Astyanax mexicanus: one gene and its partners. The protein of the gene in region 1 purifies or fractionates together with the protein of each later gene. This does not show direct contact. Links are inferred from orthologs where the notes say so. Each region holds a gene or a part of one and is shown on either strand. Other genes may lie near its edges. The genes, in order: mcm2, mini-chromosome maintenance complex-binding protein and tonsl.

Evidence for each region.
Region 2: the proteins of mcm2 (region 1) and mini-chromosome maintenance complex-binding protein purify together in Homo sapiens (co-immunoprecipitation; 6 studies listed by BioGRID and IntAct, with this or other methods). This does not show direct contact. The link is inferred for Astyanax mexicanus from reciprocal best matches to the Homo sapiens genes MCM2 and MCMBP.
Region 3: the proteins of mcm2 (region 1) and tonsl purify together in Homo sapiens (affinity purification with mass spectrometry; 4 studies listed by BioGRID and IntAct, with this or other methods). This does not show direct contact. The link is inferred for Astyanax mexicanus from reciprocal best matches to the Homo sapiens genes MCM2 and TONSL.

The regions. Positions count from the first base shown.
Region 1 is NC_064431.1:666,285-677,038, forward strand, and holds the start of mcm2 (DNA replication licensing factor MCM2), read left to right. Parts: upstream 1-6,630; 5' UTR 6,631-6,770; coding exon 6,771-6,776; intron 6,777-7,669; exon of another isoform or gene 7,670-7,804; intron 7,805-8,745; coding exon 8,746-8,936; intron 8,937-9,512; coding exon 9,513-9,679; intron 9,680-10,384; coding exon 10,385-10,657; intron 10,658-10,754. Other genes in the region: tma7 (translation machinery-associated protein 7), read right to left, coding at 856-871; ccdc51 (mitochondrial potassium channel), read left to right, coding at 3,405-3,728, 4,015-4,179, 4,304-5,092. UniProt on the Homo sapiens protein: Acts as a component of the MCM2-7 complex (MCM complex) which is the replicative helicase essential for 'once per cell cycle' DNA replication initiation and elongation in eukaryotic cells.
Region 2 is NC_064414.1:37,674,802-37,685,360, forward strand, and holds the start of mini-chromosome maintenance complex-binding protein, read left to right. Parts: upstream 1-5,227; 5' UTR 5,228-5,374; coding exon 5,375-5,432; intron 5,433-5,805; coding exon 5,806-5,891; intron 5,892-7,107; coding exon 7,108-7,248; intron 7,249-7,840; coding exon 7,841-7,882; intron 7,883-8,111; coding exon 8,112-8,204; intron 8,205-8,744; coding exon 8,745-8,874; intron 8,875-9,545; coding exon 9,546-9,697; intron 9,698-9,875; coding exon 9,876-9,973; intron 9,974-10,559. Other genes in the region: SEC23-interacting protein, read right to left, coding at 144-357, 449-954, 2,563-2,692. UniProt on the Homo sapiens protein: Associated component of the MCM complex that acts as a regulator of DNA replication.
Region 3 is NC_064421.1:19,730,987-19,742,231, reverse strand, and holds the start of tonsl (tonsoku-like protein), read left to right. Parts: upstream 1-5,976; 5' UTR 5,977-6,252; coding exon 6,253-6,277; intron 6,278-7,629; coding exon 7,630-7,725; intron 7,726-7,817; coding exon 7,818-7,960; intron 7,961-8,045; coding exon 8,046-8,229; intron 8,230-9,788; coding exon 9,789-9,918; intron 9,919-10,741; coding exon 10,742-10,913; intron 10,914-10,995; coding exon 10,996-11,110; intron 11,111-11,205; coding exon 11,206-11,245. Other genes in the region: edrf1 (erythroid differentiation-related factor 1), read left to right, coding at 12-212, 688-909, 1,030-1,256, 1,511-1,669, 2,401-2,550, 2,657-2,810, 2,934-3,052, 3,133-3,311 and 1 more. UniProt on the Homo sapiens protein: Component of the MMS22L-TONSL complex, a complex that promotes homologous recombination-mediated repair of double-strand breaks (DSBs) at stalled or collapsed replication forks.

The DNA of each region.
Region 1 (10,754 bases):
ATAAATTCTGTCCTGTTAAGAGGTTTTAATAGAAAGATGACACTATACCAGAACTACCCAATACCTTTTATTTTATTTATTTGTGCACAAATAACTTTATTAATATCGTTGACATCTTTGTGCCATGACTTACTTACTGCACAGCATAACAGATTTTTTTTCCAATATCCTGCAGCCCTAATTCACACTTTTTTTTTTTGCAGCACCATTTCACCATTTATTTTTCTAATGTTACCTTAGATATCCAATGCAATACATAGGTTACACTGTGACATAACTACAATACTACCACAGAACAAAATTACATAAAATATATAAATCAATATTATTACTCAGCATTACTGCAGCATAAAACAGCAGCTAAATAAGCTAGCTAAATATCCTTATCACAGTCCAAATTCAGACAGGGTTTATTACACTAAACGTAAATATTAAATAAACATTTAAAAAAACATTTTAAACCCATGTAAATGTCTGTAATTGTATTTAACGTTACTAGTTACTGTAGCTTAGCTAAAGTAAAATATCTGTTTTACAGTTACACTCAGGCACGCTAAGTTACTGTTAACTTCCCCTTTTTTTGCTTTTTAACTGATTTTATTCATTTCTAAGCTACAAAAACATTACATTTAAACAGTTATAATTATTATTAATCCTCTCTACGCTTCTGTAATACGGGTTTAATCTCCAGCCCGCCCAGATTAGCCTAGTTTAGCTTAGCCTGGCCTAATATCGCAGCTCCGCAGCGGCTTTTATAGACATTTAAACGATTAATATTAATAAAAATAATATAATTAACGATTTTTTCCTCTCTTTACCCCCAAATACAGCGTTTAAAACCCCTCAGTCTCTTACCTTCTCTTCCAGACATGCTGCTGTAGTTCTGTAGGTTTAGCGTTAGCTGCTTAGCGAAGTGTGCTAACGTGAGGAGCGAGGCTGCTTCTGTCAGGACCCCAGAGGCTTTCAGAAGCGGGTAGATGTGCCCGGATACGTGCCTGACGCAAATGTTAGCTTAGCGTAACTGTCATTGATTCGAATACAGCTGCAGAAAAATATTAATACCACCTTAAAATGATAATTCTTTCCGATTTTATTTTTTATAGGTTTATGTTTGAGTAAAATGAGCATTGTTGTTTTATACTAATAATAAAACAAACAAAAATATTTTCATTTAGAGCCATTATTTACAGAAAAATTAAAATAGTCAAAATAAGGTGAGGAAAAAGATGCAGAGCAACATTGAATATTCATTTAGAAACAACACTATAATAATACTAATGTTTTTAGATTAGAGATTACCGGTAGATATTAATATTTGTTGGAATAATCTTTTTTTAAATTTTTATTCACAGTTTTAATTTAAAACATCTGGAATGTAATCAAGAGAAAGGTGGATGGTCTCAAGCCATTTAACAAAGCTGAACTGCTTCGAACTGCTAGGATTTTTTCGCCAAAAGCAGCATAAGGTCACACAAAAGCAGTGTGAAAGACTGGTGGAGGAGAGCATGTCAAAACACACGAACTAGTGATGTCAAACCTAAAATTTGAAAAAAAAAAAAAAGCCATATTGTAATATAAAAAAGCCAACATTTTGTCCCCAAATATATAATATGGCGGACGAAAAATGACATATGTATAAATAAATAAATGCACATATAAATAAATATCCAAATAAAGAAACAAATACTGTATAGACATGCTGCAGAAACAGCCCCAAATAAAGGTTCATGCATGAAAATAAATTCCTGATATAATTTTAAGTGTGTACCTTTTCATTTTACAAAATGTATTTATTAATTTATTTCTATTTCTATACAATTATTCAGTATTTATATAGATACGTATTTATTCAATCATTTATATGTGCATTTATTTATTCATACTTTCATTTTTTGTCCTCCATACCCAAATGTTTCTAAATTAAAAATGTAGAAATTTAAAGTTACTGCAATTGTGTTTACTGCAGCTGCAGTTTAAAGGGCTTATATGTATAGTTTAAAATATTACAATTATTATTATTATTGTTCTGTGTTGAGGAAAATTTAACATTTTTTGAGTATAAAACATTTATAAACTCTATAAACTAATTTTGCTTAATTTCTCCATATGAACCCATTCATTTTGGTCTTCCTGTCGAGCGCCCTCTAGTGTCTGACAAACCACCTGAAGACTTTCTGGGGCTTTCTGAAGCGGGCCGGGGAGCCTGGAAATGTGCCTGAAGAAAATGTTAGCTTAGCATGACTTTCATACAGATAACTAACTAACTGCTCAAAGCTAACTCACCTCTGTCTGTCTGATATTAGTTCATAACAGGCTGGTTTTGTATTTAAAATGCTCAGGGTTTCGCTCGAAGGCAGACAGGACTAACTAACAGAGACGGTATCTGGTAGGTAGGTTTGGTAACTAGTGTGTTAGATAACTAGATAACTGTGTTTTAATATATATAAATGAATTTGAAGCTAGCTAGCTAACCTAGCTAACTAATTAGCTAGCTGGCTAATAGTGAGCTGCCGGGTGAATTATTGACATCTGATATATGGCAACTTCAGTGCTTAAGTGTTTAAACTCTTATAGCTTTAAAATGTCATGTTATATAGGCAGATATTTAATATTTTATTCTATTTTTGCTATATATTATATAGGATAGCTTGTGTAAAGTGAAAGTGAATGGTGTTGAATGGTTATGTATATTAAAGTAGATTATATTGCAATTATATTATCATTATTTTCATGTGTGTTTATTCTTGCTGCTGACTGATTTCATTAAAAAACACTGAGAAATGAGATCAATTTACTATCTTATTCTAATTTAATTAACCCTTTTAGAACCTTCATCTAGTATAATAGACATCATGTATTATATATTTTTATTTTTAAATGTTTTGTTGTATATAACACTATTTGAGAGCTGCTGTCTATCAGAATAGATCACGAACCAGCAAATGAACAAGTTTATGAACCAATGAAACGGTAACATTGCCCCATACACTAGACTGGAAAAACAGTAGAATAGTACCTAGATCCATTTATGCAAAGTAACAGCTATTTTATACTAATTTAATGTGATTCAGAATACTTTTTAATTATGTTTTTTTCCAGTTTATGGAAGGTTTAGAAAATAAAAGTGTGAACATCAAATGTAAAATATTACACACATGCTTCCAATACAATAGAATTTATAATAGATTATTAGAGCCTTCTTTTCTGTGCATTACAGACAGAAAACAGCATTTTTACATTTTTTCATCACTGAAGATGTTGAAGAAGTTAAAAATGGTCCAATTGCCTTTACCATACTCACGGTTCTCTCACCTTAGAACATTTTACACTGTTTACATTGTTTACATTGTTTCCCACAGGTTGCCAGATTAAGGTGTGTTTCCTGCCCAAATGAAAGCAAGTCAATGAGGTACAGAGCAAGCTGTGTCCTACCAAGGAGCTATGGAACTTGCTTCTACCTTCTCAAAGTCCCTGGCAGAGTCCAGTGGAACATCTCCATCAACAGAACCTACTGTTCCCCGAAGCAGAACCCAGAGGACAAGGCTGATAAGGCCGTGTCGTCTCAGGACCGTGCCTCGGCCGCCCTGAAGAATGTGGCAAAGCTTGGGAAACAGTGGGGACAGAATTCTGTGAGGACCATGAGCACTACCGTCAATTACTGGTGGGCGAAGTACGAGGAGTTTGTGGGTCTCAATGAAGTTCGAGATGCTCAGAGCAAAGTTACAGAGGTGAGCAGCACCAGTCTTACACACTGCTTTTGGATAACTTTATGCCACTCCTGGTGCAAAAAGCCATATTGGTGATGGCTTATGATCATCCATCTTCCTCTTGATTGTATTCCAGAGGTTTTTAATTTGGTAAAATCAAGAACCAAGAAACTCATAATTTTTAGTGGTCTCTTATTTTTTTCCCAGCGCTTTATATTATAGCTTTCTAAATGCTGAAGAGCACTTCTTTAGACTTAATCATCTTTTTATGTTTGTGTAATCCTTGTATCTTTCATCCTGTCTAAAGGCAGAGAAGGCGTTCATGGTAGCCAGAGGAATGGTCCGTGAGGCTCACGTCAGTTTGGAGGCTCTTCAAGTTAGATTGAAGGAAGTCAGAGATCGCCTGGACCGTGTATCACGAGAGGAGGCACATTATCTAGAACTGGCAACACTGGAACACAAGCTACTGCAGGTTTGTTGTAATTTCCAGAAAATGTATTTTAGTTGCCAAATATTCTGTGCATCCTTACTAATAACATGATAAGAGGTTCTAATTTACTTAAACCATCCACTCACTAACTTCTTTGTCTCTGCAGGAAGAGCGTCGTCTGAAAACAACCTACGAGAATGCGGAGGAGTGCGAACGAGAGAAATTTGCGCTCTTCTCGGCTGGTGTGCGAGAGAGCCACGAGAAGGAGCGATCTCGGGCCGAGCGAACCAAGAACTGGTCCGTAATTGGTTCGGTGCTGGGTGCCATCATTGGGGTAATGGGGTCCACTTACGTAAACCGGGTACGCCTTCAAGAACTGAAAGGCCTGCTGCTAGAAGCTCAGAAGGGACCGGCGAGTCTACAGGAAGCTATCAAGATCCAAGCCAGTTTACACAAGAACCAGCAGGAGGAACTCCGTGGCCTCATAGATACGTTTAGGGCAGCTGTGAAAGGTGGAGGAGTCGAGGCACAAAAAGTCAAGCCAAGGTCCGTCTTAGTGCCAGCAGCAGTGCCCGTTTCAACCCCTCCGTCTACACACGGTGCCTCAGAAGAAGCCGTGAAGGAGATCCTCCTCCACAGCCAGAAAGCTCAGGCTCTCATGGAAGATCTCAAGCCCCAGCTGCATCAGCTGGAGCAGAGCGTGGGGAAGGTGGCGACAGAGCTTCACGCCGTGAGGAAATCTGTGTTGAATCGTCCTGTTGAGAAGCCAGTCATTCAGACTAAAGATACGCAGCTGCTGGTGTGTGATACAGAGAGCATCATCCAGGGACTGGACCAGACGGAGAAGAGACTGGAGGCTCAGATCAATAAGACTACTCTGTACACCACAGTTCTGACCTACACTGCTTTTGCTTTAACTATGCCAGTGCTGTACGTCATCTTTAAAGCTTCATAATAGGGTACAGGGTACTGGATACTAGTGTAGGTAGATCGTGTGCAGTTAAGGGGCCAATGACCGACAAGAATAACCTCAGATTTTATAGGAGACCATTGGAATTATATCATGGCTTAATGCACTGATGGATAAACACTGATTAAAATGTTCTAAATGATCTGCTGCTTGTTTAATAATATTGTTTAAATATGTTCTTAAGAAACACTTACCTGCTCTTTTAGTGCATCTTATGAAAGCAAGGGTATTATCCTCATTCTGTTAACCTCAGAAGTCAGATTTAGTTTGCTACCATTGATACCTATTGATTAAAAAAAGCATTATACACTATTTTGCATATCCAAACAGCATGGAAACACCATTACCACAGGTAGAAGTTGGTGCTGTACACAGTACTGTGTGTATGACTAATTTAACAAAACACTAAGGGATAGACATGATAATAAACTATATCATACTGCTGCTTCTACTACTACTGTTTATGTGGGGGCAGCCATATTGGAATTTAAAGTTGGCGATCTCAACTTTCTGAATAAGAAATACGACCTATATGAGCATTCCTGTTAGCTAAAAGCAGATTCTACTCTAATAAGAAGGTTGTATGATGAATATTGAATATTTCAGTGAGGATTTTATTGTATTTGCCTAAAAAAAACGTAAATAAAGATAGAAACTCACACTACAACTCATTCCAAATATATATTTGATGGAGTTTCATCACTCCAGAGCAGGGTTCTTTAATTCTGTTTCCCCTGCCTTGCAAATATATGGCTTTCCTTATCTGCAACACTCATTTTATTTGTAAGGCCCTCGAAATTCTACCAATGAAGTGTGGTGCTACTTTGATGGGTAACTGTATACCCCCATCGCTAGCATTGTAAGCTTGTTGGGAACATCAGCTAAAAGTACTTTATTTTTTTTTAATGCTGGGGGAGAATGGAGGAGGACTATTGGACAAAAGGGTGTACTGGTTATCATGTTTTACTGCAACACAAGTCCGTTTCACATTGGATTTCTCCTTTACGAGCGCGTGGGAAAAGGGAAAAGTTTATTTAAATCATTTTAAGATAAATGTTATAAAAATATTACCGAGCTATAAGGCCAGACTATGACCTAAAAATAAACACTTTAATTGTGTGTTTTATTTTATTAATTTATTTATTCCTCTGTACTGTCAGTACAAAACGACAATGTGCTTTTATTCTATAAAATATCCTACAGTGACCCCCAGCGGAATTACAGATCCGGGGGCGTGGACTTACATCTCCAACCAACGGCAAATTAGAGCAGCGGAAACTCGTCATGTGATCATATTCATGAGCTTTCCCGCGCTTTGTCATATGCGGCGCTGAATGTGTGCAGGAGTACAGCACAGGGAGGCGTGGCTCTTTAGCCGACGGACCAATTAGAACTCGCGGAGACTCTGTAGCTATACATATTCATAAGCTTTCCCGCGCTTTGTCAAATACTGCATTGAATCTGTGTAGAAGTACAGCACAGGGGGGCGTGGCGCTCTTGCGGACAGACCAATTAGAACTCGCGGAGAATCCTTAGCTATACATATTCATAAGCTTTCCCGCGCTTTGTGGTCACGTGGGAAGTTTCGCGCGAAAACTTCGGCTTGCAGGGGAAAGTAGCCGGAGAGTGAGCAGAACAGGCGTGTATACATCAAACCAGCACGATGGCGGTGAGTTAAAGATTGTTATTTATTATTTTAATAAAGTGTATTAAAGGAAATAGTCTGAAACGAGGCTGATACTGTTAAACTGATTATATGTAGACATGTATTATAATTGAAGAATGTCATAATACTGGTTATTTTGAGAGACAAATCTGATAGATTTGGTTGAAGTTGTTGTCTTTTATAGAAATGCAGTAACAAGTGCACATAATAGCATTTTACAAGGCCAAATGTTAAAAAATATATATGATTTGATCTATTGTAAATTATAAATATATAACTATATAGGTCACTAGTTCGTAAGTTAGATATAAACAAATGTGCGTAGTTAATGTAACTGAATGGAGGCATTTTGTAATAATCTGTCAGCCTGTGTTCAATAACATTGGTGACTGCTTACCATAAGATATACGTACACGTTATATATACGTATACGTTTTTTACGAATAGATTTTTAAAAATAATTATTGTATAATTATCAAAACATTAATTGTCTTCTGTTACTCCTGCTGTTAACCTGCTAACATGGGTCACAATATTTACCCGCTGTGGGATTAATAAAGGCATTGTTTTATCTTATCTTAACATTTAAAATATATCATCTTGTTTTAACGTTATCTATAACTAGATATTACTGTTATTATTGTTGTACAGCTGTTCTTTTTAAGGGAATGGTTAAAACGCTAGTTATTTATACGGATGCTGTAACTACATTTTAACTTTAACTTTTTAATTTTTAATTTTAACTTTGACATTTTTAAAATAAATAACTTGATTGTATTACTTAAAAATATCTAACTTTAGATATTTAGACGCCAGTAAGTTAAATGTGTTTAAGTGAGAGAAACTTAATATTTTGCTGTATTGTTCTGTCTGTCTGTCGTAAAGTTAGTACTCTAGTGAAGGACCACGTTGGGCAGAAGTTCAGTCTTTGTTGAAGCTCCTGCTGGTTAGCATTGTGGGCTAAATCGAGTGTTTATTACTTAATCAACCTTATTACGCAGCCCTGAAGCAAAATATGAGGCGAATCTGAGGTGAATAATTTTATTTAGGCGCCTTTCAAGTGTCTGTACAACAAAATATTAAGTTTTTCTCTCAGGCAGTGTGTTTGTATTTGCAGCTACAACAGGCTAGCCAGAGAGCTGCCTGTTTCCTCAGTTTAAGTTAGCTAGCTAAGCTAAAGTAGCTATAACGTTACTGGCGGGAAGGATTTAGTATTAAAATATACTAAAAGCTGATAATAGAGCAGTTTTAATACCTACATGTTGGTAACGATGGCTCACGTAATCCAATTCGTTATTGATAAAATTGTCCGTAGCTTCTGTATTGAATTCTTTCGTTCCACCTTAAATACAGCAGTGCTCTGGGGCACCGAGCCAGATTCTCTGTAGGTTAGCTAGCTAAGTCGTGTAACATTTTTAAGGTGGAACGGAAAAGTCTTAAAAAGTCACATTGCTTCTTGCTCATAAAACTACGTTCCAAAGTTATAAAAAAACTTTTTTTCTATCAATAAAGCACATGCATTATTAAGAATACTTATAACATATATATTTGTAACTTAAATATATGTTTATTATTTAAAAATGGAAAACAAAATAAATTGAAATGGTAATTTCAGCATAATTATAGCATATTGTGCTTTGTCTGTTGGAATTGTAAATATTTAGTATTCAAGAAATGTTATGTTTTAGTTTTATAACTGCATTTCTTTGAAAAGCAAGACCAAATAATGTTTAGTTTGTTTAATTTATGCTGTAGTGAAAAATGATTCACTGAAGTCCTGCGGAGCAATTTTCCAGTTTAATATCTTACTTCGCTAAATGTATATTTAAAATTAGGATTTACAGTGATGCTGGAATCATGTCTGGTGGGTAAATTGCTTATACAATTCTAGAACAGATGGTTCAAACTGGCGCTATTTACGACCTTGAATTGTAATTTTCTAACTTTTCTTTTCATTCTTTTTATACTCCAGGATTCATCCGAGTCTTTTCACATGGCGACCAGCCCCAGCCGTGGCTCTCGGAGGGGGGACCTGACCTCCAGCCCGGGGAGAGACCTGCCTCCTTTCGAGGACGAGTCCGAGGGTCTGCTGGGGGACAACATCCCTAATGAGGAGGAGGAGGAAGGAGATGGAGAAGAGCTCATTGGGAACGGGATGGAGATGTAATGAAATTCCTCTTGCTAAATGCACTTCATTCTTGGCCAATATGATTCCAGAAATTTACTTTCGTAAAGTTTTAAACATTTAAACATGTTGGCGAAGTGTATGCCCCAGTTATTTTATGTTTATTTGATGAATTATTAGTGGTTCTGGTATTATTTTAAGTATTATATTTTAGTATTATTTACATTAAGTATTATTGAAGTATTGTGTAAGTATATATTGTTTGTGTTGCTAAGTTAGGGCCTTAAGTGAAAGGAAGGTTTTAGAGAGATTTTAAAACTGAATCACAGTGACCTCAACGATATTACCACACGTGTGTAAAATATTATTTGTTTTCTGCAGTTAAAGCAGTAATTATAAAACAGACATTGAAAATATGCTAATATATTAATTCTGAAAGAATATTTCTGATATTCTCCAAGCCTCAGTCAAAGAGGATGTTTTGTTTTTAGTGAAACACCAGCTCAAAGTAGGTATAGAAAACTGGTTTTAGAATGTTTCAAGTTAGTTTCTGAATGTTAGCCCAGCAGCACCACATACTGTCACATGTTAATCTCATATTTTGCTCTTTTCAGGGACTACCGTGCCATCCCAGAGCTGGATCGGTATGAAGAGGAGGGTCTGGATGATGAAGAGGACCTGAGTGAGCTCTCTCCTGGAGCTCGTGCGGCTGCAGAGGAGGCCATGAGGCGCCGAGACCGAGATCAAGGCATGGGCCGCATGGGAAGAGGCCTGCTGTATGGTGCGTTCAGTTACTTCTAGTACATACACAGGTCTGGAAAATAAACAAGAGCACTTAAACTGAGTTTCTTTAATTTTACCAAATTGAAAATATCTTGAATATAATCAAGAGGAAGATGGATGATCACAAGCCATCAAACCACCAAACTGAACTGCTTGAATTTTTACACCAGGAGTAAAGCAGCATAAAGTTATCCAAAAGCAGTGTGTAAGACTGGTGGAGGAGAACAAGATGCCAAGATGCATTATTAAAAAATCTGTGACCAAAAACCAGGGTTATTCCACCAGATATTGATTTCTGAACTCTTAAAATTTTCTTTGCATTATTTGAGGTCTGAAAGCTCTGCATTATTTTTATTTCAGTCATTTTTCACTTTCTGCAAATAAATGCTCTAAATGAGAATATTTTTATTTGTAATTTGGGAGAAATGTTGTCTGTAGTTTATAGAATAAAACAACAATGTTCATTTTACTCAAACATAAACCTATAAATAGCAAAATCAGAGAAACTGATTCAGAAACTGAAGTGCTCTCTTCATTTTTTCCAGAGCTGTACATTTAAAACATGTTATACAAATTCTATTAATTACAATGTCTGATTATAACTGATAACTCTCAAGCTTTTTGTACAGTATGTATCTTTAACATGTGCAGTTCTGCTAGTATATCACGTCTGAATGTGTTCTCTGTGCTTTTGTTAACACAGACAGTGAAGATGAGGATGACGAGCGGCCGTCTAAGAGGCGCAGGCGTCTGGCTGAGCGAGCGGCTGAGGGCGCCGGGGCCGAAGGTGAGGACGAGGAGATGATCGAGAGCATTGAGAACCTGGAGGATATGAAGGGACACACGGTGAGAGAGTGGGTGTCCATGGCTGCTCCTCGTCTGGAGATCTACCACCGCTTCAAGAACTTCCTGCGCACACACGTGGACGAGCACGGGCACAACGTGTTTAAAGAGAGGATCAGCGATATGTGTAAAGGTAAGCTACTTGTGTAGAGGAGGTATTCTCATTTTCTATGTTCTGTTTTTCATAGCAAATCAGTGCACAAAGAAATTGTATCCCTTGTTTCTTATGG
Region 2 (10,559 bases), on another chromosome or scaffold:
CTGTTATGTATACACAAAATAACATTTGTACTCTTAAACCAGTCATACATTTCTGCCACGTGTTTTCCCTCACAAAACATTTGTGAAAAATCTGCAACAAGTAAAGTAAATGATTTAAAATATTAAAATTCTTTCTTTCTTACTAGAATTGAATGTCTCCTCCAGTCGAAGGGAATCCAGAATGCTGAAGGGAAGCCACACCTTCTTGGCCTCCACTTGTTTGCAATAAAACCAGTGAGGCTGGACAGGCTCATAGACATTATAAGAGTATTGCATCATGGGGTTGGCTGGAACCACAGGTCCAGCCATGCTGGGTCCCGACATAGGTGGTGGTGGTGGAGTCTGCGTAAGGGGAGGCTAAAAAAAGGCACAACACACTTGATGTTCATGCATTTTTATATTTTGTAACATAATCAAAAGAACCCAGGAACGAACAAAAAGTGCGTACCTTAGCAAGCGTTGGAGGAGCTGTTTGGAACGTAGGAGTTGGCATGGCCTGTGTGTAGGGGTTGAAATGCTGAGGTGACTGATTGGGAGGTTGCTGCTGTAGCTCAGGAGCCATGAGATAAGGGCTTGCTTTGCTACTTGAGGCTGTGTGACGATACGGATTATAGCTTTGCTGGGTGGTCTGGGGAGGTGGAGGCATTGCCGTGTTGGGTGGAGGAGTGTGTCTGCCCATGGGACTCTGGTAAACTGCACTACCATATTGCTGAGTAGGATTAACATGGGAAATTGGAGGGTTTGTTGGCAGGCTCGCAGCACTGGAAACAGGGGAGGGACCAGTTGTTGAGACAACTGCAGGTGCAGGGGGCAGGCTTTGCTGGTGGCCTATTGAAGCAAATGGGTCACTACTGTTTGCAGAGCTAGAAAAATAGTTGAACGTTGAGGTCTGAGGAGCGGTAGATGAGGTCTGACCAAGGAAACTGTCTTCTTCTCCGACTTCACTTGCATCATCTTCAGGAAAGACAAGGAAGTAAGGAAAAAGCATTAGGGATACAAAAAACTTTAATGACCATATAAAAACTCGTAAAAAATTGTAACTGCAAAGCACTAGACACAAATCTGGAACAGAAATGCAAGTACAAGTACTCTTAAAAAAAAAAAAAAGTGAAAAAAAAGTGAAAACTGACATGTTTTTCAAGCTCCACACTTAAGTGGAAGTACTAAGTATTCAACATTTTTTTGTGCTTGCAACTACTGTATTGTATTTGCAATGATTTTGTAGTCTATTCTAGAATGTACTACTCAAGAACTGAAAGTAAAAGTACGGTACTGTGTTATGCAGAAAGCAGAAAGTAGTGGAAAGTTCTCATTGTGAAAAGCAGAACAGGATCAGTGTGGTCATCTTATAACATCAGCTTAATCACTTGATTCACTCAATGATGAGCAGCTTTATCAAACCCGATGACAGTGCAAAGCATTTAGTTTGCTCTGGCTTTAGTGATAATGTGGGTTTTGAATGATTTGTAACATTTTGTAGAATTGTAACAAGTAACAATGTAGCACATAAAAATAACAAGTATTAAACTTAAAATATGTAGTGAAGTAAAAGTGAAAGTAGAATAAAAAAAATACTCAAGTAAATACAGCATTTTAGTACTTAACTACAATAGTGAAGTAGTAGAGCTGGGACACAAAAGATTACATACCCTGCAGACACGTAACAGTATTAGACGTTATCCTGACGTAAAAAAAAAATCTGACGTCATGACCAACATTCAACATGAAATTAACGTCTACTAACGTTGATGGCCAGCTGGATATTCTCTCACCAAATATTACAAGTTTCCCTATTTAAATATTTGAATTTTAATTCCACATTCACACTGTTTGTATTATTTTAAAAGCTAGGAACAAGAGCTGTGCCCACATGAAGCAGGAGTGAACGAACGTCATGGCGGAAATAATCCTTGACTAATCATTTAATTATTCATTCATTAGTTTCAGCCCTAAAAACCATACATTTGATAAGTGATGATGACTGGCACAATGATAAATATAACATTATGTATAATTAGCTAAATGGACACAAGAGAACACAAAAGATAATTGGCTACTTCTTACTTGAAATGTAGAAACACACATTTAACTAAAAGCTCAAATAGTAGGAGCTGTGTCTGCAGATTATGAATAGAGGAAGTGTCCAGATTAATTGTTTTCTATTAGCTAATCTAGCTGGCCAACAGCAATCTCACTAACTAGTTGACCAAGCTATGTTAGATGAATTGACTGATCCATGTCTGAACACATAAACATTAGCTATGTTAGCTAACCTACGTTATTAACTATAATCCCTCAGAAAACAGACAAACTACCTTAGACACAAACACATTCAGTAACCATGTACAAAAGCTGTAAGACTGGCACAGTGACAGCTGCTGCCATGCTATAGAAGATCAGATAAACTAGGTTAGTTAACAAACTCGAATGTCAGATTAGCTCTGAGGCTAACAGTTAGCTCTCACCCTGACCTGAACACTGATAACTAGCTATGTTAGCATACCCCTCTCTCTCTCTCTCTCTCTCTCTCTCTCTCTCTCTGACCCCACTACAGTCTCTCACCTCCGGACAGCACAGCAGGGCCGCTCGCCTGGCTGACAGGAATAAACGGCAGGTTGAAGTTAAACTCCGGGGCTGTAGAAAACAGCAGGTTAGCGCTGGAATTGGGGACGTTGCTCTTCCTTTCAGCCATTTTCACTCACTGTTACACGTAGCTCCCACTGCCGGAGTCGCAGAGCAATAGATTTCAGTGTTTCCGTGATCGTCAAGCCGGAGTCTTAGGGGGTTTTACATATTCACTGACTCTCAGATCATCCGCCTTGTCACCGATTAATCAGCGACTGCCTTCCTTCAGTCAATCCCTACGACATATAGATCTATAGCCACTGCCTCCCCCACTCAGTCGATATGACGTTTTAGGCCAAAGTAATAAATAACCGATAAACCGATAGTTAAAGGGAAGCGAGTGTTCTGTGACTGTGTGCTTTAATAGTCACAATTAGACAGTAATTATTTACAATAATTATTGGTAACATTTATTTACTAGGGGTAATTATTATTATTGTTATTTTATTTAAATACTTTATGAACAAAAACAGTATAACATAATACTAAATCGAATTTAGACACATGGGTTAAAAATGACTCATTGAATCTACTAAGAAAATCCAGTTCTATACCAGCTGGCCATCCAAAGAAAACATACCCTAGGGTATGTTTGTTCTGGATGGCATCCAAAAAAAAAAAAAAAACCAAAATAAAGTGAATACTATATAAACTGAATTCTATAAAATTTAGTTTCAATAATTACTTTACACTAATAAGAATGTATGATGATCAAAAACAAATTAATTGATAAAACCATGCATTTCTGAATGATTAAATTAATTTTTTGCAAAAATATAGAACATTAAATCTCAGCTGGGTCACTATTGTTGACACATGTTGTGCATCAAAGGGTTAAAAGTGCATCTAAAATATACCTGTGTTATCTGTTGTTAAGAAGCCTATTCGTTTCGGAGGTCTAGACACTACAGTTGCCAGATTCACTTAAACTGTGCAGTGCAACGGGAAACTGGCTTATCAGATTATGAAACTGATCTGAAAGGTAAAATTTTATTTATATATATTTTGTATAGGTTAAAAGTGAAACGACGTCTGAGGCTTACTTTTTTAAGTTTTGCTAATAAAAAAAGAAATAATAAAATAATAAAATAATAATAATAATAATAATAATAATAATAATAATAATAATAATAATAATAATAATATGTACAATTATTCAGTGAATCAATGTCTATAAGAAAGTAACCCAATTTGACGAAATCCGGGAAAAAAAAGAGTACCTGGCAACTCTCACATACTCGCAGAGCCAGAACAGAGCCGGTTTATGAAGAGCCTGCCCACTTCCCCATATTTTCCTATTCATCTCATACAATGACTGCAAAACCCTGCAGGGGATTTATAGATCATTATTATAATATCCAATACAACCTGTAGGTGTGGTGACAGCATACACTTATACACTGCCTTAGGGACTAGCTGCTCAACAAGAAGAAAACCAGATTCAGTTCAGTTTACAGAGCATATTACAGCTGAACACAGGTGAAGTCTGCTTCAAATATTTCTGTATTTTCCTGAAATTTTTATTTTAAAAATTAAAATTAATTGTTTAATTATTTTTTAATAGTGTCTAACAACATGTCCATGACATTCCTTTAAGTATTTTGCTAAAAAGCAAACAAAAACCTACATTCACACTATCTGTCAAACATTTTAGAACAACTAAATTTCCTTTTTATATTTGCCATTTAAGGTCTTCAGGTCCAGTCAATAACCGGAAATGGTACCAAATCCAATGTGTTAAATGGTAAAATTGTGATTTTTAGCAAAAACAAACAAACAAAAAAAAACAACAATTGGTTAACAGCTTACAGCTGGTAAGTAGCAATGGAAATAAACTGAGCTTTATACAAAAATAAACAAACCTTTGTCTATAGTAAAGCAGTATTGGAACAGATTGTGTTACTGCACACTCTACTGCAGTATTTTTACAACACACAGTTCAGTACTGATACGGTTCAATGAAATAGGCTAGTGAGGATAAGGTGCAAAGATACAGCTCTGAAATAAAATAAGAGACCACTTAAGAATGATGTGATGCTTTGATGTTGAAAACATCTGGAATATAATCAAGAGGAAGATGGATGATCACAAGGCGTCAAAACAAGCTGAACTGCTGGAATTATGGCACCAGGATTGGCATAAAGTTATCCAAAAGCAGTTAGAAAACCTGGTGGAGGAGAACATGCCAAGATGCATGAAAACTGTGATTAAAAACCAGGGTTATTCCACCAAATATGGATTTCTGAAATTTGGAATTTGGGAGAAATGTTTTCTGTAGTTTATAGAATAAAACAACAATGTTAATTTTACTCAAACATCTACCTATAAATAGCAAAATCTCTTATTGTGGTCTCATGATTGTCTGGGCCATACACTACTGCTTTAGGACAACTAAAAATAGGTGTACGTTTGTAATTTGCTATATTTATAATTTTATAATAAACAAACATTTATCAATTATGATTTTGCCCAACTGCTCCATGTGAATCCATTCTTTGTTGGTCTCTCTCGGGAGCGCCCCCTGGTGGAGTAGAGATGTTTAAGTGGGTCTTCTCCTCTCTGGAGGTTCTCTAGTCACAGCTCGCGCTCACGGTCACATGAGGCTGTTCGTGACGCAATTTTCCCGCCACCAAGAAGTGTGTGTGTGGAGCGGAGGAAACGAGTTTGCAAAAAAAGAAAACGGCTTTTTTGAAGTAGTTTAACTTTAAGAACGAGGAGACTTACTGCAGTTTCTGGAAGAGCTTCAGCCATGCCTTCAGTTCAGGACTGGATAAACAGCCCGCTGGGCGCGGTGGACGCGCTGTTCGGTAAAGAGCTGCAGTTTAACAGCAGCAGGGCTCTGGCTCTGTCTCACTGCTGACTGCTGAAACGTGGGGTTAGCCTGGGCAGCATGCTAGCTAACATATGGATAGGTTGGCTCACCTAAGCTAGCTGAATAATTCTCTTTATTTAAATAGCTAGTCTGGTCACTTGAAGCACAGCAGCTCGTGTGTGTGAATTATTAAGTGTCTGTTATTTTCCATATATACCTCGTTGTTTAATTAAAGTTGTTAAATTCTGTTACAGACTGGCAGCATGGGGCTAATTTAGGTCAGCTAACAGAGGCGTTTAGATATGAAACAGGAGCTGCTGCTGTGATTATAAAGCTGTGTTTCTGTAACGTTATTCTGTGTTTTTCAGCTCAGAACAGTTCCAGGTCAGACTGGGAGAGGAAGATTGTGGAGTATTTCAAAGAGAAACTGAAAGTAAACGATGCACAGTCCTGGGTAACTTTTTAATCACGCACTTTGTTTATAAACACGGACTATGTGGAATAATAATAATAATAATCAATAATAATAATAGTAATAACAATACTACTACTGCTACTACTAATAACAATAATAATTAGCATAACAATCAGAATAATAATGACAATAATAGTAATAATATCATCATCATCATCATAACAAAATTCGAGTAATAGTAATAGTAATCAGAATAATATTAATAATAATGGGTATAGTGATAATACTGAAGAAATTACTGATAATGATGATAGTTATCATCGTCATTACCATTATTATTATCTGTATTATCAGTAATAATAATAATAAGAAGAAGGATAAAAATTAATAATCAGAGTAATTGTAGAAATAATCAGAATAATATTATTAATAAGTGATGGTGATAATATTGATGATGATGATGATGATGATGATATTATGGATGATAATAACAATAATAATAATAATTATTATTTTTTTTATTATTATTATAATAATGAGTAATAATGAGTATAATATAAAAAACAATAATAATGACATAGTATAATCTGAATAATATTAATAATAATAGTGATGATGAAGATATTACTGATAATCATGGTGATTATTATAATAATCAGAATATTATCAACAATAATATTGATGGAGATAATACTGAAGATATTACGGATAATTTTGATGGTATCATCGTCATTACCATTATTATTATTATTATCTGTATTATTATCAGTAATAATAATAAGAAGGATAAAAAATAATTATTATTAAAATAATGAGTATAATATAATAATAATAATAATAATAATAATAATAATGACACAGGATAATCTGATTAATATTAATAATAATAGTGATGATGATAAATTAATTATAGTGATGCAGATAATATTAAAAATATTGCTGATAATCATGATGATTATTATAATAATCAGAATAATGTCAACAATAATATTAGTGGGGATAATATTGAAGATATTACTAATGATGATGATAATTCATTTTTTTTACGTGTTTAATATTGATCTACAATGTATAAAATAAATAAACGAAAAACATTAAATACGAAGGTGTGTCCAAAATTTTGACTGCTACTGTAACTGTAATCTTGATTGAATTGCTGGTTTGTTATATAAATAACCTTGTTTTAAGTTATTTTTGTATGTAACACGTTTGTTTGGTTGTGACACTCCAACCAAACACTGTTTGTGATGTTTAGGTTCCCTCTCTGAATGACGTTCCCCTGCACTATCTGAAGCCCAACAGTCTGGTGAAGTTCCGCTGTATGATCCAGGACATGTTTGATCCAGAGTTTTTTATGGGGGTTTATGAGACAGTTGACCCTTCAACAAATTCAAAGGTGGGCAAAAATATTGTCAGTTTATCGTTTTTTTGGCCGAAACACCTTACTATTTAGCATTAGTAGATTTAGTGTAATTTCTTTCATCCATCCTTCTTTCAACACCCTGTTATTAGTTTATTTTTTATTTTCTTTTAGTGAGCACTTAAGTTCATTGAATTTTTTTTTGTCAATTTTGTTTGTTTGCGTACAAGGGCAGTCACTTTTTCCTCATAATTCTATAATTGTGCTTTATGTACCTTTTTTGTTATTTAATAAAGCAGCAGGTATGGATTTTGCCTGGTAAGACGGTGGTTATAATGGTCTAATGCATACACCTGAACAGGCAAATGGCTGCATTTGTAGCGTGTTGTCTGATGTGAGTGCAGCATAATTGTTATTGTGTTCATGTTGAAATACATTTAGAAATGACAAATTGAGCTGCAGTGAATCATGTTGCCATATTATTCAGTTAATAGTTTGTATGTTTAAATACATAATATTTATTTTATCTAATATAGATGATTAATAAATTATAGTTTAAAATTGAGCATATGGTCCTTGTTAATTTATGTTTATTAAATCTGGCTTTTTCTTTTTATTCATTTGTCAGGTGCTGAGATGTGGAAAATACAAAGATGTTACTGATTGTGGCGTGAGTATCTATCTTTCTCTCAATATTTATGAATGGATTGTTGCATGGTCACTTAGTCTACTGTTAAAGTGATTGTTTCTGTGTAGTATATGCTTCAAATAGTATTTAATTTAGCAGTTATACCTAGTAATATTTCTGCAAACATTTAACACCTATTCTCATGCAGAAAGTCAGTCACTCTCTTTAACCTTAATCAATGGTTCTAAGGGGAACATGTTTATCTTTACAGCAGATTGATTTCAACTCCAAAAACGCTGTTACTTCAGAGAGACAAACCTTTTACTGCGTTCCTATCCCAGGAGAATCTCAGTGGGTGAAGGAAATATCCTTTCGGAAGAAAGCTCTTCATCTGTGGATCAAGCTGCCCTAACATAATGGTGTAAATTGAATGATCATTGCATAAAACATAAATTAAGGTCTTTATGACCTTGTGAAATGTGATCTGGTGTATGCCAGTCATGCAGATGGAATTGTTTAGACGGTAATTGTCCTTTAAATATTATTGCAATTATAGAGTATACATCATTGTGTACATCTTTGCTCTTACTGCTAGCATACATCCTAAACCTGCTATTTTGTTTGTTTGCTTCCTAACCTATAAATGCATATCATGCTCTAGCAAGTTTAAAGTTTTAGAGGTTTTCTTCTTCCTTATAAGATCTGTGATTTCTCTCAAATAAGGCCTCATTTAAGTGTATTTGCCTAATTTTGACATTTTTTAAATGTATTGATATATATTTTTTTAATCTGACAACTTGATCAGCATAAATTAGCCCTGGTTCTGTCAAATCAAGTTACCGGTATGTAATAATTGTGACTGGCATAATCTCATGTATGAAAGTTTGGCTTAACCGTTGAGTACAGTTTTGCTGGATCTAGCCAAGCTCGAGTGGTGCCCTCCACATCCTACACCCCGAACAGGCACAAGCGCAGTTACGAGGAAGATGATGACATGGACACACAACCACAACAAGACAAAGAGTTAAACTCAGGTAATATTAAGATTGTGTTTTATATTTGAGGATAATTGCCAATTAAAAAAAAAAAAACGATACTTTTGCTTTTAAATTAAAGAAATGTTGACGGCACTGCAAAAGAATATATAATGTTCTGCTTTTACGAAAGTCAATGTCAAAGTTCTTTTATTTGTCTCCCAAAAGAGAATTTTTTTCTTGGACAGAGGGCTTGTGGCACAACACAAAAACAACACATGGCCAACATATCATTACTTCCCAGTGCATTACATTTTCATACTTTTACACAGACCCACAACATTGTGGATATTTAACATCTTTACTCTCAAAGGTACAAAGGAATGTTTGTAGCTTTTATACCTACACAAAGGGATGCTGTTTCTTCTACCTCAGTTCATGAGCTGGTACACATGGATACAGCACGTGTGTAGTGTGAGATACAATGATCAAAGCTTACATATTCCCCACTTTCACAACTCTTGCAGGCTAAGAGGGGCAGGGGTGCCAATAATTTTTCCTGCTTTCTTGACTAGGCTCATTATTTGAGTCTTTGATTTAACTGTCAGATTGCTAAATCAACCAGTAATGCTGTGTCTCAGAATTGATTTAATGGTTGCTCTGTAAAAAATATATATATATATATTTCTACAGTCACCCAATGCTTACATTGCTTTTTCTTTTTTTAATAGGAACTCAGAATGAGGACACCCATAGGAATACGGATTCCAAACGCCTGGAGACAGAAGCTCCCAGTCACAATGCTTCTCCTTCACACTGCTCGTCTAACCTAGATCTCAACTTCCCTCTGCCTGGAGAGCGAGGCCCAGCCTGCCTGGTTAAGGTAGTTTGTTTTTGTATGTTTGAATGAATGAATGAATAAATCTATGTTCTGTGTGTATTTCTAATTGAACAATACAATGCAATTATTCTTATAAATAACACATCTTCTTTTTTGATTATACTTGAAAAAAAAACCCTGATGATCATTAAGTTTTCTACCCCTTGTGTGACACTGGCAGGTGTATGAGGAATGGGACGGCTTTAAACTGAATGACATGCTGGAGGTTTTTGGCATTCTCTCAGTCGACCCTGCTCTGAGCCTGATAGCTGAAGACAAGTAAGATTGCTGTTTTATTGAATAGCTGTTTTCAGTGGTGCAGTCTTGGACTATAAAGTCTGTGACTAGGCTTAATCCATGTCTAAGAAAACTGACAGTAATTGTTATTATTAATTAGCATCAGTACACTTAGTATACACAGAGTATATTGATTGTGCCATGAGATCTCGCAAGATTAAAACGGCACAAAATTTCTCGTCAGGTGTCAAAAGTGTCTTGCAACTAATGCACAGGTAACCAAAACAAATGTTTGATCCTTTTTGGCAGCTACAGCAGCTGTGGTCTGCTCTAGTGAACCACCGTGCTTGAACATACACAAACGCACACACCAGCACGTCTGCCTCTCTGTATCTGCTGACTTTAACATGTTGTTCCATTAATTGCGTGGTCCGTCAAGCCTTGTGTTTCCACCCACATGTTCCTGCTTTTGCAAAGTTTAAACTGCAAAGTGATGCGGAATCGCATATAAAACTGATCATAGGTTTAATACAGAACCCTTACTGGGGGGATTCTGATAGTAGTTCTAAGGTCTGAAGATTACACCCAGCTGCTGTTCTTGCATAGTGTTCTGTATTTTACTGCATAT
Region 3 (11,245 bases), on another chromosome or scaffold:
GCTTTGTGTAGATGCATATTGTGCTATATGCAGTGGACTGTACCCACGTGTCTTGTTGTTCCACAGTCAGTGTTTGTCTCTGTGTGGAGACATACAGCTAATGCTGGCGCAGAATGCCTCAAACAGAGCTGCCTATCTGGAAGAGTACAGCTATCAGACCAGAGACGACCAGGAGATCCTTCATTGTCTGCACCGGGAGAGCTCCTGCCAAGGTCTCTCAGCTATAACTCTAATGCATTCCATCTTTAACAATGTACACATTGTCTGCACATTGTATTATAGTATCTTAGGATGCACTGAATATTCAGAGACCTAAATTATGTAGTAAAAAAAACGTTTTTAATATGCCTGGTGGATATGAAAATGTTCATTGTTTAATAAATATTTAAAATTGTAGTTTTGTAAATTTGCTTAAAAGCAAGATAATTTTCAAGATTTTATTTATGCAATGGTTACAACAGGTCCAAAATGAATGAAAAACATGACCTTAAAATCCAAAAGCCAAATTGATTTATATTTTTCGATTTAAATTTCAGACAAACGTTTACAGTTCCTTGCATCATTTACTGGTGTCAGTCATGTTTTATGTATCAAATAAATTTCTATCATAATTCCTAAATAAGAGTGTTGTTTAGTCTTTTTGCTTTTATCCACTGTTGTAATGATCTGTGTGTATTATTTCTCCAGCATTCAACGTGGCCACTGATCTAGCCACTGACCCAGAGTACCAGCTGTTTGTCAGTAGTAAGTGTTATGAGGCTGCCCATGACCTTTTGACCTCTGAGGCTCTGAAGGACCTGGGCCAGGAGCAGCAGGCACAAGTTCTGAAGCGGCTTGGCAACATCCGCAATGAGATGGGTGTGTTCTACATGAACCAGGCTGCAGCTTTGCAGACAGAGAAAGAAGGGGGTGAGTGCTAGATTCTAGATTTCTAGATTTCAACCCAGGTAGCTTGTATTTACAGATCACACAGTGGTAGTATATTTAAAATTTTACTCTATTTTCTGTCCTTTCCTCTCTCTCTTGCAGTGCGGAGGTCGGTTTGTGCAGCAGAGCAAGAACTGTGGAAGAAAAGCTTTTCGTATTTTGAGAAGGGTATGCAGAACTTTGAGGCCATTTCTGACTCTGTGAATAAAGCTCTGCTGCTGTGTAACATCGGCAGACTGATGCGCATCTGTGCCCAGGCCCACTGCGCCATGACCTCTGAGGAGAGCAGAGGAGAGTTTTCTCCAGAAGAGGCTCTATATTACAACAAGGTACTCATGCACAAACTAACTATGCACCAGTTGTAAAACTGATTAGTTTTAAACTGAGCAGTGTAAAATGTATATAACATATTTGTCTTATCTTGTGTATAAATTGTTTGATTAGTCACAGTGCATTTACAGATCAATACAGTATATTTTTATGTAATCATAAAATATTATTATTATTATTATTACTATTTATTTTTTTATTTTTTTAAATCTCATTTAGCGTACTATAATCATATCCTTCTACCTGTGTTTAGGCTGTAGATTACTATCAGAGGGCCATGAAATGCCTGGGCAGCAGAGAGAGCCATGAAGCAGTATGGGACTCTGTTAACTGGGAGCTTTCCACCACGTATTTCACCCTGGCCACATTACTGCAGGACTATGCTCCACTATCCCGAAAAGCTCAAGAACAGGTAATGCACACGCTTGTGCACACGCTTGTGCACACACAGACTAAAGCACAATCCCATTTCTCTTTTGCTCCCCTACCCCTTGTTTTTGAGTGTGTAACTCGTCCCCTTGGAACAGAGTTACATGTGAAAGGGTTGAAATCCTCTCCAATAAGAATTGGGACAACCATTCATGCACCCTATACAGATATAAAACAGTGATGTGCTAAAGTTAAACAACCTAGTTGCTGGTTAATTAGTTAAATTTAGGGCATCCTATGTCTTTAGAAAGAGGGCCGATTGTGTAGCAATTATTGTTTCTGCTTTTATTAGCTATTATTTTATTGTAATTTTCCTCTTCATCTTTAATTATGCAGTCTCCTCCGACTGTTGAACCATTTAAGGTGGCTACTAAGCTACTTAGACTAACTAATAGCTGTTTTTTTATGCCTGTTATAAAGAAAATGGCCATAAAACATTGAATCTACACATTAAACTATGGTAATATAGTGGTTATCAAATTTATTGTACACATCGTGATATCGTAACAAAGAAAATACTCAAATTTGTGGGTTTCTTTGCTGCTATCTTGCTAGTGATTTTCTTAGGTAGGGCCAAGTGGGAAATGGTATTGGGCTTAGGCCACCTTACTGTAATCGGAATATACTATTACTAAACCATGAATGCTAGTTAAACTTATAACATTTAAATCAAGCTTTTCACAAAAGATTTTCCATTCTAACTTTTCACTTTAGATCGAAAGGGAAGTGACGGATGCCATGATGAAATCTCTGCGATACTGTGACCTCCAGACAGAGTCTGCTCGTCAGCCGCTCTACCAGTACAGAGCAGCTACCATTCACCACAGACTTGCCTCCATGTACCACAGCTGCTACCGTAACCAGGTAAACACATCCTCTTGTTCATTTCCATGTTTCCATTTCCATAGTCATATGCCCTTGCATATCAGTACAGACACTCACATTTACCTCGACTCTGTGCCTTCTGCAGGTGGGTGATGAGAGTTTACGGAAGCAGCATAGGTCTCTAGCAGAGCTCCATTACTCCAAAGCTGTCCGGTTGTTTCTCAGTCTGAGTGACGCACCATGTGAGCTTCTTCGCACGCTGCTTGAGAGAGTAGCCTTTGCTGAGTTTACCATGGCAGGTCAGTCTCACACAGTAGTCGGTAGTCTTTATTGCGCATGTGTGTGATGTATTTTTGCACATTCAAATGTCTGTCTTTTTGTGTTTAAACTTGTGTTAATGTTGCTATTTCTGTGTTTTTCAGGGCAGAGTAGTAGTGCTGTGAAATTAAAAACCCTAACAGGTGCTTTAGAGATCATGAATGAAACACGCCATGCCTTCAGGTTAATCCATAAGGAGCTACAGGAGCAAGAGCAGAAAGAGGTATACAGAGAGGCATGCCAAAAATGAGACCTTATTATCTTACTGTTTTGAAAGGTTAATGATTATTAATATGTTCGCAGGCAGTCGCAATAGAAGACACAGACAATCCTGATGAAGCCGGTGCGGGGTGTGATAGCTCTGCCTCCTCAGGCCTGAACACACAGGAGGTGCTGAAGCTGATTGGTGTCTTTGAGCCCAGTTTCTCCTTCCTGCTCCTGCAGCTGGTCAAACTCAGTGCCACAAGTAAACGGAAACCCAGGTGAAAATGAGATTTATGTACTCTGGTGTAAAATTGACTTTTGACCTGAACATTTGACCTTTGTTGAATAACCCACATCTGTTCTCCCTCATCTTTCTGAGATCCAGTAATTTTTTGCAGTGTCTCCAAACATGCTTTAGAATAAATGATATTGGGCATATTTTGCCCCTGCAGATAAATCACTTTTTACATCGTTTTACAAGCTCAAAGTAGCTCCACACCTTATTGATAGAATCCGGAGAGCCCTGACATTAAAATGAGGCATTAATAACTTTAAAAGTGCACAAGAAGCTTATTAAAAACCACTGTTCACAACCCGTAGCATGACCTAATCTCTGGGTGCCGCCATCACTGTACTGATCATGACTTTACTTTAAGATGGCCCGGAAATTAGGTTATGCTTTAAAATAAGGCATAATAAATTAATTGTTAATTAAGTGATTAGACAGGACATATTAATAGGGTTTGTCTGCAAACATTGGTGAAAGAATGTGTCGCTATTAGGATCTCTGGGAATTCCAGTCTGGCACTGTGATAGATTTCCTCACTGCTAAATATTCCACACTCAACTGTCAGTGCTAACGTAGTGGAAGTGACTGGGAATGAAAGTTGCTCGCTATGTCAACATAAAATGACTTTGTGGGGTCAGCAGATGCTGAGGCTCTAGTGTGTAGAGGTCACCAACTTACTGCAGAGTCAATCACTACAGACCTCAGGCTTCAGACTAGCTCAAGATCAGTAGAGTGTAGAGGAATGGGTTTCCATGGCCGAGCAGCTCCATCCCATCCTTACATCACCAAATGCAATTTAGGCAAGTGGATGCTTTCGGCAATATAGTGTAACTCTTTATACATGGTTGATCTGTTTGTGTATGTGTGTTAAACAGTGCTAAAGAAGAGGAGCAGGTGAAGGTGTACAAGCAGGTGTATTCTCGACTCTTGCGAGCGGAAAAGAACACCTCCCTGATCGAGCGGATTGCCCTCTATTTGGAACTTCTGGATCAGCTCACCCCACCAGCAGAAAGCGAAGAACCAGGACCATCAATGTGAATTGTACATTTGTGCAAATTTCCGAACTGACTGGTGCTACCCTCCCTGTAACTCATTCAGGCTGCGTGCTGAAAGAACGAGGAGCCTTATGGAATGGGCCTTATTCATTCAAACCTGAAAATGTGAATACATATCATAACAAGCAGTGCCTTGTCCTCTCACTCACAACATCTTCATCCAGACATTGTGACACATTACTTTTTTTTTTAACCATTAGCAACAGAAAATACATTTTGTTCAAAATATTCTATATTTAAAAAAATGTATAGTAAATATTTTCTAAAATTTTCAAATAAACCAACAAAACTACCTGTTTTTTGTTTTTGGTGGGGTGAGAGAAAGGGCACTTGACCGATTTAGTGGTGTACAACTAAGGTCACATTGGTTGATTTAGCTAAAAGCTCACAGTCTTTAAACATAAATAAACAATAAATATGTGCAATATTAAGGCAGTGTTCAGGGTTATGCTCTGTTTAAAGGAAGGATTCACTGAAAAGTCATTTTTATACAATTTGTGTTTGGGGGACTTTTGTTATTTTTGATCATGGAAAGAACTGAGTACATTTGATTATTCTGGTAAACAGTTCCTTTAGAGGCTTGTACAGCTTGCAGTGTTTTTGTATGAGTGTGTTTGCTGACTTGTTAAGATTATTAAAAAAAATGGACATTATTTTAAAAGTTCTGTGTCTTGGTTTATTTAATTTTACTTGTGTTGTTGTGAGCTAGTCCATAGCAGATATGACAAATGGCTTTGAGCATAGTAAAGACTTCCCAAGTCTCCCGGAAGTTGCAGGAGTCTACTGCATATCAATACCGGCTCCCTGATGCCCGCAAGTCAGAAAAAAATCTCCTTAAATCTACAACGAGTGGCCCAAGAGTGAACAAAAACACATACGCAGGCGACAGAGACTTTTTTTTCCCAAACGCAAGTGTGAAAGGAAGGCAAAGGGAGAGAAAGTCTCTTCCCTTGTGTGCATACTCATGAAGTGCATGCAAGACAAAGAGGATTCTACAAAGAGTCTGTGAGTCAGCCAATCAGTTTTTAGTGTGGGTGGGCAGTGTTTTTTTCCCCCTCCTGGATGGGATTCAGTGAAGAAGAAGCATCATGGCTCTACTACTCTAAAGTATATCCATGTCTTGTAAAATAATAATAAAAAAAAATGTAAAAAATCTTGCTTGCTGTACAGTTTGTTATAACTGTAATGGGGGACTAAATGATTGCAAAAGGCATGTTTAGGTATATATATGGGATGTCTGAGTATAAATCGAATACCCAATACAAATATAATTTGTCTGTGAATCTGTTGACTACTCCTCTTACCATTACTTCATATGATATGATATGACTTTTCTGTTTAAGACACTTTTCTTTTACATTTTTTTAAATATATTTCAATTAGATGTTACATTTTACTTATGCATTGGAAAACAGTAACAGTAATAACCATAGTAAAATTAATACATGCTTTTTCTTTAAAATCAGACTTCAATGTTTGTGTGAGTATTAGGAGCTGAAACGACCTTACCAATATGGCTTTACAATGTGGACCTCAGTAGGCGGAGCTTGATCTTTTACTGCCGGTCTGCTGCAGTAGCCAATCAGCGGGCAGCAGAGCTCTTGGCGCGGTATTGGGAACAGGAGATGTAGCTTGTGTAGTTAGTTAGCCAGCTAAGAGCGACGGTAACTTTTTGAGTATTGTTTTAGTTTTAGAGCGATGGATCGCTGTCAGAACTGACACTAGTACATGTCTGGAGATCGGTGGAGGATCGTGGTGTTTATTTAATATGCGAGATCCTGTTTCCGCTCTGTTTTGTCACTGATTTTTTTCAGTATTATTGACTTGCGATTCCTGCTAGCGAACTAGCAGATATCCGCTGCGTAACCAGGGACAATGAGTTCAGCGAAGGAGATCAGACGTGAGTAAAGTTTCATACTATTTAAACTAGGTAGATTATTGTCTTAATCAGATAAAAACTGCTAATTAGACTGTATATAACTAGTTATACTATAACTAGCTTTAAGCTATCCTGCCTGCTGTTGTCTAGCTCCTTAGTAAATAGCATTCATTTAACTTACTTATTCAGCTAGCCTGGCTAACTATTTAGCTAACCGTATAAAAATAATATTGTTATTATAGCCTAGCCCTATGACAGCTGTTTTATTGTATTCACTGTTTTCTAACACAGGCATATAACGTTAGCTGGGGTATCATTTATTTTTCGCAATCAGATAACTGTTACGTTATTTTGATCCATCTAATCCCAGACACGAAAATATTAAAATCACCTCTCATTATCAACCTTTTGAAATGAAGGTTACTACTTTAAAAAAGTCTTAAATAAACAGGTGGAAAAATGAGTTTTATGGTCGGTCTCAGTTGTTGTGACCCGTGGAATAATAGAGTTATTAAGTTAAATAGTTTACTAACCCCAGGCTAGTTATCACTATTTTCGAACAGAGCTCAAAAAAGAATTCTAAAAATGTATATTGTTTATAATGGTATAACGTTACTTGGTATATATGCAGAATAATTAATGTTACAGTAACTAACTCGGTTATATATATTTTCTGTTTATGCTTAATGTTTTACGTTTTTACGTCTGTGTTTTCATTGGCTGTAAGCCATAGTCATTAATAATAAAAGAAATAAACGCCTAAAATAGATCACTCTGTGTGTAAGACGTCTATATAATGAGTTTCATATTTTTGACTGAATTACTGAAATAAAGTAACTTTTCATTGATCAATTTTTTTGAGATGCACTAACATATATGCAGTAGTCATGTGACAGTGATGACATACTGTATGACAAATGACAAAACTAAAAAAAACAGATATATATGATTAAAGCACATACTTAAAGTATATCCTAAAACCTTTTCTTTTTTTTTTTCTTTTTTTTAACGCTGTAGGTATTTGTCTAAATTAGTGCTGGACAATATGGCCAAAATTTATTTCTTGATATATTCCTTAATTTCGGTCGAAATGATATAATTTCGTACTGTCAGAAAATGTAATTTGGTGGGAATGCACTGATTCATCATTAAGTAAAAATTTTAGAGCCATATAACTGACAATGTTTTAAATATGTTTTAATATTGTGACCGATGGCATTAAATAAATTAACTTTACTGGTGTTTTAGAGAGGTAAGTAATTGCTAGCTAGCTAACTACATTTCCAGTGTCTTCCTGTTGTTCTCGTCAGGTTGGACCACAACCTCCTCAACATTTTAGATTAAAATAAAATGTCCTTATTGTGTTTACACAGAACTGCAGAAAGCCAAAAGTAAAGCTCAGAGCAGCAGTAATCTGAAGGAGGAAGCTAGCCTCTGCAATCAGCTCGGAGAAGTCTTAGCCAAAAGTGGTAAGAAACCCAGGATAAAGTTTAGTTAAATGATTCCTCACAGTGTCAATTTCCCTGAGAATCTGCTGTTCACTCCTTTTGTGTGTTGTCAGGTGATTACCAGGCTGCTATTGAGGAGCATCGGCAGGAGCTGGCCCTGTCACAGGTTTTACATGATGTGATTGGTTGTGCTGTAGCCAATCGGAAGATTGGAGAATGTTACGCAGAGCTTGGCAATATCGCAACTGCTCTCAAAGTAAGAAAAGAGCAGTTAGTTGCTTTTCACATTAAAGAGACATTTAAGGTTTCCATGGTTTAGACACCTGTTTCTTTTTTTGCAGTATCAGAGACGGCATTTGGATCTGGCTTGCTCTGTAAATGATGCAGTAGAGGAACAGAGAGCTCTGGCCACCATTGGCCGGACTTACCTCTTTCTCCATGACACTGACCAATCACTGGACAGCCTGAAGCAAGCAGAGGATGCTTTCAAGAAGAGTCTGGCTATAGTGAACGAACATCTGGAAGGTGGTGTTCTTGTTTCCTAATGAACTCTAGTGGAAAATAAGTCAGCAGGTGACACGTACACAGTAGTGGGGAGTTGCGTCTGAGTACTAAAAAAGTTAGAATAAATTCCCAGGACATTTCTCAGCTGATGTTTTGAGCTGGTGTATTTACCTGTTAATGTTGATTTAAATACATTTAAGAAATGTAGACCTTGAAACTAGTCCTAAGTGGACCATGGTTATATGTATAAGAAAAATTAAAAAAAAGGAATGTAGGAGAATGGAAATGCAGTAAATTATCTGAATGAAAATGATAATTTTAATACTTTTATTTTTATATAGCTTGTATATATCTTGTTTATTATCCAAGATCAATGTATCTTTCTGATTCTAGTCCCTACAAACTAGCTACGGATACTTTCACTGTGGATATGGGCATCTGCTAAATACCCTTAATGTAAATGTAATAGCACTTTTCTAAAACCTAAAGACACTTAGGAAACATTGGATACATTTAAACGCACAGAATAGAAAAAAATGAACACAGAAGAAACATTTAAACACACAGAATACAGAAATAACATTTACAGAGGAGAATCAACCCATTACATTACATTACATTACATTACATTACATTTGGCAGACGCTTTTGTCCAAAGCGACTTACAATATTGAAGTGCAAATAATAGAAGAGGTTAAGTACAAAAATAATAGAAGTTAAAAATAAAGCATCTATAGATAGGGCCTTAAGGAGGTCAGAGGGAAATAATGGGATAGAGGAGTAGAGAAGAGGAAGAAGGAGATGAGGTTAGAATTAGTTAGTTTGTTAGAGGTGTTAGGAGATTAAGTGCTCTTTGAAGAGCTCTGTCTTCAGGAGTTTATTAAAGATAGCGAGAGATTCTCCTGATCTGGTAGTGGAAGGTAGTTTGTTCCACCATTGGGGAACTCTGTATGAGAACAGTCTGGATTGCTTTGTGTGAGTGTTTGGCAAAGCGAGGCGACGTTCATTGGAGGAGCGCAGCGGCCGGGAGGTAGCGTAAGCCTTCAGGAGCGAGTGCAGGTAGGAAGGAGCCTGTACTGTCATCACCTTGTAGGCGATTGTAAGAGCTTTGAATTTAGCCAGTGTAGCCAGTAGCCAGTGGAGCTCAATGAGCAGCGGAGTGACATGTGCCCGTTTTGGTTGGTTGAAGACCATATCACATACAAGATACAAAGTACAAAGAATATAGAAACATTCAACACGCAGACAGAACAGATGAGGAGAATCAACCCAACAGTATTATTGTGTGCGAGCATGGAGAAATTCTGATCACCACAGCTGCAGAGTTTAGATGTCAGTGCATTTAGAGGCCTAGCAGTAAAAGATCACAATTGTTTGCATAGTAAACCAGCATCATTAACATTTGTACTCTGAACATTCAGAAAATGTCATAACATATAGTGTAATATCAGTTCATTCTTTAAATACCTTTTGATATTGATAAGATTTAATTATAAAATTTGATATTACTGGCTATTACTGTGTTTTTTTGCAGTGTTTGGGGCTGATGCGTACATCTTGTATATGTATATGTGTCTCAGGGAGAGTCTCGGCTCGGGAACGGAGTGAGATGAGAGCACGGCTGCTGCTGAATCTGGGCTTTGTGTGCGATGGTTTGAAGGACCCACAGCGCTGCAATGAATTTATTCGTCAGAGCATCTACATCTCAGAGTGAGACTCTCCTCCTTGCAGCCTTTAATTGTCTGCAGCATGTGGTTCATGGCTTAACCCTTGTGTGGTGTTCGGGTCTGTGGGACACGTTTTCATTTTTCATCAAATGATACAAAAAAATATATTTTTTCTAACTCAAACTCATTGGCATTGGCTCATTTTTTGTGAAAAGCATATATCAAAACACATTTTCGATAAACACACACTGTACACCCCCCCTCCCCCCACACATTTATATTACATACAGTATGTTTGGCCAAGGGCTAATAAACATTGCTTCATTTGTAAATTTGAAACTAAACAAATTTTCTACTCATATCTTGAGTTTAATTCATTTTCTTTTACATTTCATTAAAAAACTTATTAAAAAAAGAGTAGCACTTTTTAAAAGAAATGTAACACAAGAAAGGTAAAGGGCAAATATTAACCATATAAGCTGTTTATATTGCTTGCAATTTATGTGAAGCAAGCATGTGTAAAGCATTTTAATGTAAAATTGCTTAATTTTGCTGAATTGAATACAAGTAACAAAGTAAACGGGTAACAAAAATATGAACACCACACAAGGGTTAAACAGAGGTAGTGAAGGTTCACTGGTTAGAAAGTTTGGTTATTATCCAGAAGTAACGTACCCACGGTAACTAGGTCTTGACCAGCATAAGGTATGATTTTTCTGGATAACCAGCTGGTCAAGAAGGATAATCCCAGAATTGTAGGTTCCATACTAATGTCCACACAGCTGCTACTCTTGGTTTTTTAGAAGGAAACATGTCCATGTGATTAATTAATCCGGCACCTAACACTGGTCCTCTCCTGTTCTTAGGAAGAACAATCTTCTAGAGGATCTGTACCGAGCCAACTTCAACCTAGGTAATATCCACTTCCGGAATGGTCAACATTCGCTTTCCATCCGATGCTTTGAGAAGAGCAAAGAGTGTGCACACAAGATGAGCGACAAATATAGCGAGAGCGAGTGCTTCTACAATATTGGAAAGGTATCGGTCATCTGTAGTTTTGGTATCAGCATCAACTAGCTTTGATCGTTTTAATAATGCTGTGCATTGAATATTCCCAAAGGTTCTGCTGAATCTGGGAGACTTCCTGGGAGCCCGGCGCTCCTTGAAGAAGGCCTTTCAGCTAGGGTCCCAACAGCCTGCAGAGAGAGAGGCAGTGAAAAGAGACCTGAGATATGGTGAGTGGAAGGTGTTGTTTGTTTATTTATTTTTTAAGGCTAATACTCATATAGTGTGTATTTATCAAAACTTGGCCTTGCTGCTGTTTCTGTAGCAATCCGTGGCTCCAAGCTGGAAAAAGCTATGTCAACCGT